3 linked regions of the Oryctolagus cuniculus genome follow. The protein of the gene in region 2 interacts with the protein of the main gene of each other region in a pairwise test. Links are inferred from orthologs where the notes say so. Each region holds a gene or a part of one and is shown on either strand. Other genes may lie near its edges.

What was found.
Region 1: the proteins of PNMA1 (region 2) and SNRPB2 interact in binary tests that used the Homo sapiens proteins (3 or more experiments, as listed by UniProt). The two-hybrid records come from large-scale screens. The link is inferred for Oryctolagus cuniculus from reciprocal best matches to the Homo sapiens genes PNMA1 and SNRPB2.
Region 3: the proteins of PNMA1 (region 2) and RTP5 interact in binary tests that used the Homo sapiens proteins (3 or more experiments, as listed by UniProt). The two-hybrid records come from large-scale screens. The link is inferred for Oryctolagus cuniculus from reciprocal best matches to the Homo sapiens genes PNMA1 and RTP5.

Annotation. Positions count from the first base shown.
Region 1 is NC_091442.1:41,760,440-41,764,499, reverse strand, and holds the start of SNRPB2 (U2 small nuclear ribonucleoprotein B''), read right to left. Parts: upstream 2,801-4,060; 5' UTR 2,650-2,800; exon of another isoform or gene 2,577-2,649; intron 961-2,576; 5' UTR 936-960; coding exon 872-935; intron 128-871; coding exon 1-127. UniProt on the Homo sapiens protein: Involved in pre-mRNA splicing as component of the spliceosome. Associated with sn-RNP U2, where it contributes to the binding of stem loop IV of U2 snRNA.
Region 2 is NC_091451.1:19,888,785-19,892,710, forward strand, and holds the start of PNMA1 (paraneoplastic antigen Ma1), read right to left. Parts: upstream 2,801-3,926; 5' UTR 1,750-2,800; coding exon 688-1,749; 3' UTR 1-687.
Region 3 is NC_091434.1:56,491-60,481, forward strand, and holds the start of RTP5 (receptor-transporting protein 5), read right to left. Parts: upstream 2,801-3,991; 5' UTR 2,465-2,800; coding exon 2,172-2,464; intron 490-2,171; coding exon 1-489.

The DNA of each region.
Region 1 (4,060 bases), on a different chromosome or scaffold from region 2:
TTTGTGGATGAGCCCAGTTCCTTAAAAATAACAAAGGCCTGCCCTCTCATCTTCATGGTCTTTAAAGCCACAATATCTACCACATGGCCAAACTGAGAAAATAGGGCATACAGGGATCTCTTCAATTCTGTCCAAATAAGAGGGGAAATAACTTGTGAACGAAGGAATGAGAAAATTCTTCATTAAATGACAGTACATTGAGTGCTCTGTCACCATTTATTTATACAGTTAGTAGTTATATATGTAAGTAAAAACACAAATTGCTATTCCCATTGGTTATCTAACGTAAAAAGTTATTTGAAACCATTATATGAGTAGCTATGAGTAAGAACAGATTCAGCATGTTGTCAGTCACTACCTATTTTTGTTTTTAAAAAGCCTGGAAATCCTTACACAAACTTTATAAATTTATTACTGGAGGCCGGCACCGCGGCTCACTAGGCTAATCCTCCGCCTTGGGGCGCCGGCACACCGGGTTCTAGTCCCAGTCAGGGAGCCAGATTCTGTCCCGGTTGCCCCTCTTCCAGGCCAGCCCTCTGCTGTGGCCAGGGAGTGCAGTAGAGGATGGCCCAGGTGCTTGGGCCCTGCACCCCATGGGAGACCAGGAAAAGCACCTGGCTCCTGGCTCCTGCCATTGGATCAGCGTGATGCGCCGGCCGCGGCGGCCATTGGAGGGTGAACCAACGGCAAAAGGAAGACCTTTCTCTCTGTCTCTCTCTCTCTCACTGTCCACTATGCCTGTCAAAAAAAAAAAAAAAAAAAAATTTATTACTGGAGGTAAGAAAAATGAGTTTGGGTGTAGTACAATTTTGTAAGATGGTAGTAAACAAACACATTTTAGTTATCAATAAGTATTTTTAAAAACACTTACCTTCTTTTTTAATTTTGTCATTCATATTATTAATATAAATTGTATGATTTGGTCTGATATCCATGTCTGAGTTAAAATGTTCAAATAGCCTAAAGAGAGGATAAAAAAAAAAAAAAAAAACTGTTACAAACAGGTGTGATTAAATCAATACAGCAGAAAGCTGTTGGCTTTTCCGTTTTCTTTCAATCGCTATGTCAGAATGTCAGTTGGGTCATAGACTCTCTCTCCAGCAATAGCTAGTCCTCCTCTGTATTTCTGTTTGAGAGGCAAACGCACACACAGCCAGAGGCAGACAATGAGCTCCAAAGCTCTGCTTCACGTCCCAAATGCCCAGCTGTGGCCCAGCTCGACTGAGGTCAAGTGAAGCTAGAGGCTCCTCAATCCAGGTGTCCCACGTGTGTGCAAGAACCCAATCACTTGAGCCACCACTGCTGTCTCTCAGGTCTGCATTAGCGGAAGCCGGAGTCAGGAGCGAGAGCCGGAACTCAAGCCCAGGCACTCTGACATGGGGCAGACATCTTAACTGCTACATCAGATGCAAACCGCAAGCCCTCATTTTTACAATTCTCAAGCTCAAAATTTAGTGAAACAACAGCAGCTTGCCAGAGTTTAATAAAATTGTATTCAATACATTTTTATACTTTCCTTTCACTTGTGCTACTTCCCATCTGCCTAATGAAGTAACTTGTATTTGTAAGCTGGTTTAAAAATTTTGACATAAAGAAAAATGAAAAAGAAACTACCAAGTGTACAATCCAGAACAAATCGTTAAGACAGAACATCAATGTAGTTTGTTCCTGGGTGCACTTACAAAGCACTTCCATATCTATCAATCACTGTGCATAAATTTCCACCTGCCATCTTCACTCCAGGATGACCTCTAACAGACTTGGCAAAGACCTTAATCTCTCAGGTCTTCATCTGTCAGACGGGGCTGAGGTGGGGGCGGGGCTGGCCAGAGCCCCCGAAGTTCTAGCACAGCTCTTGCATCAGAAGCCCCCAAAGGAGCTAATATCATGGCTGTTACAAGTCAGGGAGCACGCTTGAGGTCACACAGCTCTTGATCAGAAGGCCTGGGAATTCCGTCCTTGCAACCCACTGGACGATTTCCACACTTCACGTGGTTTTTAAGTTGCCAAGTGTGACCTTGCTTTACTTCCCTGGATGGCCCACAGATAATTAGGTACTAAACACTGCTTGCTGTGTTTACACACAGCGAGGGAGGAGCCTATAGACCGATGTACTTGTGCAGGTGGCAGATGAATAGAAACGTTTCTTAAAGACTCGACATTTCCCCAGTCGAAACCTGGAAGAGGAGCAGGGGGTCGCCAAGTTTTGACCATGAGAAGGGAGCGAGAGAGATTAAAGTGAAGGCGAGGAGAACAAGAGACCAAGAAGCTCGGTGCTGGGCTAATCAGAGCAGGGCACCTGGTGTCGCACCTCTCCCCTCCGCCAAAACAGAAACAACAGATCCGCAGGAAACCACCTGGAATCTCCCACGCCTCGCATTAACGGGCGTACTCTGTACGCGCCAGCTTCCTGCCTCTCCAGACACAGACTCTCTGCCCCGGGGCCACGCCGCGATCCAAGGACCGCGCCAGTCCCGCCAGAGACGCGCGCCGCTGCTAAGCTCCCCTGCATGGCCGCTCCCTCGTCTCAAACCGACCCCTCCACAAAACCAAGGCGAGACGCCACCCGACCACACCTCGCGCCTCGTACTGTTCGGGCTGAGCAGCGTGAAGAACCGCAAAACCGAGGAAAACGGGAATCCGACTCACCAGAGGACTACGCCGTTCCCACGAGCAACCGGAAGCCGGAAACGGTGCCGAAGGCGGAAGTGACAATGAAACTCCTCAATCGAGCGCCGACAAGTCGAGAAGCCCAGCGCCGAGTCGATCGATGCCTCCCGGTCTCCCGCGGCCCCAAGCTGGGGAACTCTCTGCGCATGCGCCTACGTGCTCTGCTGAAAGAGGGCCCGGGAAAACGGAAGAGGGTTGAGAGAACTGGATAGAACCCTGGGGCCATGCTGTGAGGTAATAAAAAAGAGTGGTTCATTTACCCCCACTAAGACTGAGGGAGGTTTTAACTCACATAGCAGTTCCCTCTACCTTTCTGAATCCTATGTGAGGTTTGCGGGCGCAGCCCCTCCTGCTGGTTTCACCCCTTCTATGGGTCAGCCTCACCTTTAGGACAGCCTATACTGCTGCCAGGGGTTCTGAGGTAGCTCCTCAACACTCTGCTGATGAGCTTAACTCTGAGAGGCAGAGCTGGAGTCGGAGGCCCTGGAGCAGAGACTGAGTGGGGTGTGCCTTTAACATCTACCTAAACTCACTCAAAACACCACAAAACACTTGAGTTCCCGACACCCTTCTCACTGCACTCCCCGCAGATGCTTAGATTTTTCTGGAGATAACTTAAGGTGTTAGTGAATGGAAATTCAAAACCGTGCATTTGGTCATTCGTTCATCCGTCATCTGAGACGTGCTAAGAGCCACCTGGAATAGGAAGGCTTTAGGAGTCAAAGCAAAGGGCCCCATGGCTTGGGACGTTGCGTGGGGCTCCAGCGTCCCGTATTTGTGTCCAGGCTGCTCTGCTCCTGATCCGGCTTCCTGCGGATGCATCCTGTCCTGGGAGGCAGCAGCTGAGGGCTCAGGTACTTGGGGCTCTGCAAGCCACCTGGGAGACCAGAATGGAGTTCCAGACTCCTAGCTTCAGCCTGGCCCAGCCCCCGGCCTTGTGGCCAGTTGGTGAGTGAATCAGTGGATGAAAGAGCTCTGTCTCTCTCTGCTTTGCAAATAAATAAGTCAAAAAAATTTTTTTAAAGAAGCCAAAGTAAATCTAACCTTGTGTCTTCCTCTTAACTAAATCTCTCTTTCTCTTTCCTTGCCTATGTAACAGGAATCTTAATAGTACCTTCTTATCACTCTGGGGACTAAATGGGTGCTCTGTAAAATGATTAGAACATTACACAAAGTCACTGGTTCCTAAATGTTACCTCTAGACTCTAACTATGACTTGGAGGTATGGATGAAGGTGGTAGGGGCCAAATAGTTTGATTTTATCACCTGAGGAGTTTTATTTTAAGAGTCAACATAAAGTTGCAACAACTTAAAAATAATGTAAGTACTTTGAAGGTGGGGATTTTTGTCTGTTTTGTTCATTTAAAAACCTTCAGTAATTAAAAGAGTC
Region 2 (3,926 bases):
GTTCAAATGTAGAACATTTAAAATCTGGGTGAACAAGAACTATTTTGACAAGGACTGGAAGGGGAGTGGGGGGATGGGTGGGTCACTGTCACCGGGTCCTAGCCATCTCCCCAGGTGGTTTCTCTGCGCGACCTCTGATCAGCACAGCTCCGGAACTGCAGTCCTTTTCCAGCGCCCCAGCTGGAGTCTCAGAACACTCTGTTCCACAGATCCGGCTCTTTAAAGATGAGCACTAAGAGATTTGCACTGTGAGGCTGAGCAGTATTACCTAAACAATGCACGTTTCTTTCCATTAATATAAACATGGAATGATTTACAGTCAACACACACTAGCCTCGACGCTGATAACAATGTGATGGTTCACGGTTCCTGCGAGCCAGGCCCTGGGCTAAACATCTGCACGTGCGACTTCACATTTATCTCCATGGGAAGAGTCACGGGTTCACACTTGTCACAGCCGAGGGTGCCGGCATGTCGACAGCGGGCGCCGCAGCCAGCAAGCCCATCGGCATTGTAGCAGCTCCCCATGCTCTGTGCAGTGTCGGCGGAGTTACAGGAACGGGCAGGCCAGAACCCCCTCCCTCCAAGAAAAACACAACGAAAACAGCAGGCAGCTAGGCCTTTACTACTCGGGACCAGGACAGCAGCTGCGGGCCGGGTCTGCACGGCAGCCCTCTTTCCTGGGGCTCAGAAGTGCCCCTCCAGGCCCAACTGCAGGAGCGCGGCCTCAGCCTCCTCCTCCTCCTCCTTGGCCTCCTCCTCACGGATCTGCACCAGCAGCTGGAAGAGGTTCGGGGCCGGCCCTTCCGCAGCGCCGGTCAGCCAGAGCTGCCTTCGGAGGGTCCCGCTGTGGTTGGCCCCGGCGATGACCTGCTCCAGGCGGGCCTGGTTCACGTTCTCTTTATCAATGGCCCCCTTCTCCACCACCTTCTGCAGCAGCGGCTCCAGACGAATGACGTAAGCCGACAACTTCTCTCCCGGGTTCTGGTACGTGTTCAGAAACCTGACCTGCGCATCCCTAGAGCTCTCCACGCTCCCGAACACCTGCTCCAGCGCCTTCAGGCACTCGCCGGTGGTGATCGCGGGGTTGCTGGTCTTGAGGATGCGGATGACGTCGGCGGCGGGGCCCCGGAGGCTCTCCATCAGCCGCCGCCTCTTTTCTGTGTCGGACACCTGCCACTCCTCTATGACTTCATTAGCGTGCTCCAGCCAGCAGTCAAAGCTCTCCTCCCCAGGCCCCGGGATGTCCCTCCCCGAGAACAGCGTCAGCTTCTTGTACCATATGGACTCCACGAGAGGCTGAATAACATTATCCAAAATATAGCTGAGCATCTCGGCTGGCATTTCGGGGCCCGGGGCCGGGGCCGGGTTCTGAAACCCAAGGACGCGGGCAACATCTTGCACGGTCCACCCCTCCCGAGCTAGGAAGAGGTGCAGCCTTTCTAAAAATTCAGCGTCAGACGTGGGGGGCTTAAAAAGCACTTTCCACACCCCTCCTTTGCCAGGCATCTCCCTGGGGATCGCGGCGTAATCCACAGCGCCAGTGAGCTCTAATAAGGCTGCTTTCGCGTTCTCTTCCCTCCAGAACATTCTCCCAAGCACTCGATACGGCACCTGGGGCATCGCAGCCTGGAGGGTCTCTTCGATTTCAGCCTCATCACAGTTCACTAGGATCCCCCAAACCAGCAGCGCTCTCTGGGAGTTCACGTCCATGCCCCTGCACCAATCTTCCAACAGCGTCATCGCCATGTTCCCAACTATCAAAGGTACCGATTCGACAGATACGGATCAGACTGCGGCTCCCCGAACTCCAACCAACACCAGACACTCCCCGCAAGCAGGCGCGCGGGCGGCAGGTCCCCGCGGTCGCTGGTAACAAGCGACACCCAAGCCCCGCTGTCCGTCTGCGGCTCCCCGGCGCGGCCTCGCAGGGGCTCAGTCAGTCACGCGGCTGTCGCCATCTCGCGTCCCGGGTCGGGGTCTGCGGCCCCAGAGTGCAGCCTGCGGGAGCCGCGGGGCCCGGGAGCGCCGGGGTGTGGCCGCGGGGCGTGGCCGCCGCTCCCGGAGTCGCCCCGGCGCTGGCGGTCCGAGCCCGGCCCTCAGCGGGGCGAGGAGCGGCAGCCCGAAGGAGCGCTCGGCGTGCCGGGCCCGGCGGGAGAGGCTGTCCGAGGTCACCGCGGCGGCAGCCGGGCCAGCCGGCGAGCAGCGGCTTCTTCTCGGGCGCGGGGACCCCTCCGGACAGCGAGGACCGCTGAAAACCGAGGGCTGAGGGGAGCAAAGACGCAGGAAGGATGCAGAAGCGAGGCGGGAGGCGAAGGCTGGTGGGGCCGGCCGGGCTCGCGTGGCGCGACGGGCTGCGGCGGCTGTGGCGCAGCTCGGCAGCCGGCGCGTTCCCGCCGCAGTGCAGGGCGGGGCCGGCCCGCGAGCCGCGGCCGCCGCACCGGATCCAGGTCGCCGGCGAGGCGCGCGCGCGTGACCATGGCAACGGTGTCCCGGACGACGCGCTCCCGAAGACTCCGTGCGCAGCGGCGCGGGGTGGGGGGAGCGGTTGCCATGGTACCGCAGCCATCAGATGTTCCAGACTTTTACAATGAAAAAAAAAATACCAATAAGCATCGAGGGCTTCTGTCTTCTAATCCGGAGCGGATTTCAGATACTAGTGGGTATCACCCGTGGTGGCTGACTTGCTCATGCAACTGGCGCATCAAGCCAGGTGCGTGGACGGCATCTCATCCAGAGGAAACGAAGGCTCCCAAGTATCCCACTTGTGTGACACACAGACTGGACACTTCCTCTTATCTTTTTTTTTTTTCTAATTTTTTTTTTTTTTTGACAGGCAGAGTGGACAGTGAGAGAGAGAGACAGAGAGAAAGGTCTTCCTTTGCCGTTGGTTCACCCTCCAATGGCCGGTGCGCTGCGGCCGGCGCACCGCGCTGATCCGATGGCAGGAGCCAGGAGCCAGGTGCTTTTCCTGGTCTCCCATGGGGTGCAGGGCCCAAGCACCTGGGCCATCCTCCACTGCACTCCCTGGCCACAGCAGAGAGCTGGCCTGGAAGAGGGGCAACCGGGACAGAATCCGGCGCCCCAACCGGGACTAGAACCCGGTGTGCCGGCGCCGCTAGGCGGAGGATTAGCCTAGTGAGCCGCGGCGCCGGCCACTTCCTCTTATCTAACACTTAGTCAAAAGGCCGGCCACCTACCTACCTACAGCTGGCAACGCACCAGTATTCTGTAATCCCTGCCTCGGGTACTCTTCAAGCCAGAGCAAGGGCCGCTTCGGTCAATCTCAGAGGATGAAAATCCCCCAAAAGAACACAGCATCCAACTCTGAATTTTTAAAACCTTATTTAATGAAAGGTTTAAAGATACAGAAGAACATTCAAAAGTAAATAAGTTACATAGGTACATTACAATCACATCAGCAAGATTCTCTTTAGTGTATTAATTTTTATATAAAAAGCACACAAAAAATAAAATCTTCCATCTGCTCTATCACAACTGTACAGCCAAAGAGGTAATATTTATATATTTATATATATGTACACCATTTTCATATGTAACAGTCTTTTTTAAAAAAGGTTGCCACAGGCAGCAAACACACAAAAGGCAGTGTCTGATCATCTGTTTCAAAATAAAAGGAATATACTTCTTTATATGCTATTAAAATATTTGTACAATAATTACAGACTGTCAAGGCTGTCCCCTCCTACAAGGCCTTCAACTTGGAGACAAATGAGTAAAAGGTGAAACAGAAACAGCTGCAAATCGTTAGAGGCAAACAGTAACACAGCAAAATGGGGGGGGGAGGACACTTGTTTTATAAAAATATGCACACTTCCTGTAAACCTAAAGGAGTCAGGCTTGCCAGTCTAGTAATAAATACTGTCCAGAAAAGCGGGCCCCCGTGGAGAGGGTGCTAAACAGCC
Region 3 (3,991 bases), on a different chromosome or scaffold from region 2:
GAGAAGGGCAGCGAGACGACGCGGGCGCCCTCGTGCGGGCACTCGCCGCCGTCCGCCGCGGCGCCGTCGAGGAAGTCGGTCTCGGCGAGGCCGCCGGGGTCGTGGCCGCCGGCGCAGCAGCCGGCCGCGTGCCCGGCCCTGGCCGCCGGCCCCCAGGCCAGCTCGGGCGCCGTCTGCAGGAAGCAGAGCTGCAGCTCACAGGCCTCGCAGCGGTCGCCGAAGCGGACCTCGGGGCACTGGCTGAGGTGGTCGCCGTAGCACCGCCTCAGGATGTGCAGCACCAGCTTGCTGAGGAAGATCCACACGTTGAGGGGGCTCACCTGGCAGTCGCCGCGGGGGCCCGGCGGCCCCGGGGGGCACATCCGGCACCGCTGGCCCCACACGCGCATCTTGACCAGCCCCTGGCGGCTGCCCGCGTCCCACCACAGGTGGAAGAGGATGTGCACGTGCGCCGAGCGCCAGACCCACAGGCAGCGGCTGCACTGGAGCCTGCGGGGAGAGAGGGCCGTGAGCCGCGGCCGGGCAGGACGCAGCTCCAGCCCGGGAACAGCCGGGTGCCGGCCGGCGCAGCCGCAGCGCTCGGAGCTGCCTCGCTCTGGGCCAGGCCCTGCAGCTTGAAGACCTGAGACGCAGACACGCGCACAGCAGGGCAGCACCAGGGTGCACCCCGGCCGGAGGCCTGGGAGCCACGCGCCCCCACATTCTGCTGTCTGCAGTGTGGACTCCCTGAGTGCCAGGGCAGGAGGGGGAGCCGACTCAGGGCCTCCCGGCTGGGCCTGGCCAGGTGATGAGAAATTTGGGAAATTTAAGGGGGTGCTGGTGTGAGGGATGCCCCCTGCAGCTAAGTGCAGGCTCGGGGGACCCTGGACAAGCCCCCTGGATTCTGAACAGTGCACCTCATATGTGAGCTGGAGAGTTGGGCACCACACCCCTGGCTGAAAGAAGCGCCCAGCTCCTGGCCCCCAGGATGGACTCTCCTCCAAGGTCCTTGGGTTGGGGTGGGCAGATTAAGCCACTACCTGAGACACCCACATCCCGTATCGGAGCACCTGGAATCTCCGCCTCTGCTTCCGATTCAGCTTCCTGCCAATGGACCTCGGTGACGAAGGTGCTGGCTTCCCTTGCCACCCACGTGGGAGACCCGGATGGAGTTCAGCCTGGCTAGCCCTGGCTGTTGTGGCCGTTCGAAGGCTGAACCATTGGATGGGAGAAGTTCTGTCTCTCCCCACCCCCATCAGTCTGCCCTTCATCTAAATAAAAATGAGTAAACTTTTTAAAAAGACGGGGCGGGGGGGCAGATGAAGGGCCACTCATTGCTGCCCTCAGTGACCCTGTCTTTGCGCTGCCCATGGGACTTTCCAGACGATGGAACTGCTTTAGACCCTGCGCGGCCGAGGAGCCTACAGAGCGCATGGACGTGGAGCTGAACTTCTAACTCTGCTTAAGTCTGATTAGCGATCAGAAGCCACAGGTGCCTGGTGGCCCTGGCTGGAGACATGGGTGTCGTGGTCCCCGTCGTCTGGGTGACCAGAGCCACCTGCATGCGCTACATGGCAGCACTTGGCTGTGGGGCCAGGCAGGGGCTTCTCGGTCTTCTCAGACCCAGCACCTGGAAGAGCCAGGGCTCCACCACACACTGGCCCCCAGATCCGGTGCTCGGGAGCTATGTGGTCAGAGGCAGAGAGCAGGACAACCGGTCAGCATGCCGAGGGGCCGACGGAGCTGCTAGAGCTGCCCCCTGGCTGGCGCCATGAGCCAGGGATGCACGCTGGGGAGGTTCATGGTGGTGATGAAGTATGAGGCTCCCTGGGGACCCTCTGCCACAGCCTCCCCAAGCAGGACTGCCCGGCTGGCTGGTTGCTCAGGCCTGAGCACCGCACCTGCGCATTCCAGGCCCTGCCTGGACACCATGGCAACACCACGGGAACAGCGCAGGCCAGGGGAGCGCCCACCCCCCTGGCAGCCATGATGTCAGCACTGTCGGGTCTCAGCTCTGGCACCGCCCGGCCCCACCCACCTGATGGGGGACAAGTCCAGGCGGGGTGGATGCCCGCTGCCAGCCCCACAGCACCCACTCCAGGGCCACTCGGGCCCGGTCTCAGAGCCTAGAAAGGCGCCTTCAGCCTCCCCTCACCCACAGGGGGCTCCCCCCCGCCTGCCCTTGGCCGCACCTTGAAAGCCCCTTCAGCCGATACTGGAAGCTGCTGCCGTCCAGGGGCCCCGCGGCCAGGCTCTCCTGGGGGAGCAGGACCCAGGCGTCTCGGGGCTTCCTCTCGCTCATCAGCTGGGCGAAGGTGCTCACCCACACGTCCGCCCCAGCCGCGTCCATGCTGCGCGTGTCTGCACTGCGGGCTGACAGCCGCACTCGTTCAGGGGCTCCCAGGAAGCCTCGGTCCCGCGCTGGCCAATCAGCTGCCTTGACAACAGCACGGTCTCCGTGGCAACCGGTTTGTCTCAGAGACATGGAAGCAGAGAGGAAAAATACAATGAAATCGCCTGTGACCCCAGCACCCAGAGGTCACGGTCGCGACGAGCTGGGTGTGCTGATGTCTGTGTGGCTGCCGTGTACATGGGCGTGTATGCTTGCACAGCCACTGTCACAGACCAGAGATCATGTGACACGCATGCATCGCCTGCAGCTGCTCTCTTCCCTGCACGACGCGTGAGCAGTGTCCCGTGAGCGTCTCTCCAAGGGTCTGGTATTTTCCAGCGGACTGCCAACCCTGAACTGGAACAGCATGGCACTAAATTCTAAGACACCGACATAAAAATGCCTAGAACATACATGCCAGCCTCACACCTCCCAGGCAAAGAACCAGCCCGCAGCTGTCCCTGCTGCCGCCAGCCTCAGGCCCCTCCACCACTGCGCTGCCCCCAGCCAGGCCGAGCCCCGCTTGTGGCTGCACGGCCTGAGCCGCAGCCTCAGCAGCCCTGCTCACAGCTTGCGGAAACAGCATGTCTGGCTTCTCCCTCCCTCCCAAGACTCAGGGAACAGCGAGAGAAAGCTAGTGCAGAAAGCAGGCCAGCCTTGGCCGTCCAGGATGGCAGGGCTGCACGCACGGCCAACCCACAGCTGTCAGTGAAGGACTCAAGCCGAGGCGGCCTCTGGTGACCGTGGCTGGGCAGCTTCTCCAGGACGAGGGCCATGTTGAGGCTGGGGTGCAGAGGTGGCCCCAGGAGCCCTGAGCATGGGCACCTGGCTCAGGGCAGCCACCATGGAGAGGAGCTTGTGGGCAGCTGCTCTGGCTGCTGGAGAAGCTCATGCTGACAAGAATAGACACCCCCAAGGGCCATTTCAGGGGACCCCCGGGAGACACCCCACACACATGGAACCAGAGCCTTGTAGCCTCTGTGGGCCCCTGGAAGCTGTCCCTTCCAGTCACTGGGGCGGGCTGCCCTGCTCACGCCTGCCCAGCTCTCTGGGGGCCTGCAGATGATGTCCCAGGTCTCAGGGACATGCCCCTGGACGGGCTCAGTGCCTCTCCCATGCCACACGTGGTCGCTCAGCTCACTTTGCCCTGCTCACAGCTGCACAGCCCACCTGCCCAGCTCTCTGGGCCCAGCTGCAGGTGCAGGGCCTGCAGACGACCGTCCAAGGTCTTGGGGATGTGCCCTTTCCATGCCACACGTGGTCACTCAGCTCACTCCGCCCTGCCCCGTCTGCACCTGGCTGGCTACCCATCTGTCCTCTACTTGTGGGCAGGGTGCTTGGTCCTTCTGGTTTTGTTTTCTTGTTTTTAAATTATTTTTATTTTGTTTATTTGAAAGACGGGCTGGGGGGCAGGGAGAGATCTTCCTCCTGCTGGTTCATTCCCTAGATGGCTGCAATGGCTGGGGTTGGGCCAGACGGAAGCCAGAAGCCTGAAACCCAACCGAGTCTCCCACATGGGTGCAGTGGCCCAAAAATTCAAGCCATCCCCTGCCGCTCTCTCAGGTGCACTAGCAGTGGAGCAGCCAGGACTGGAACCAGCAGTCGGGTGAGGTGACAGCA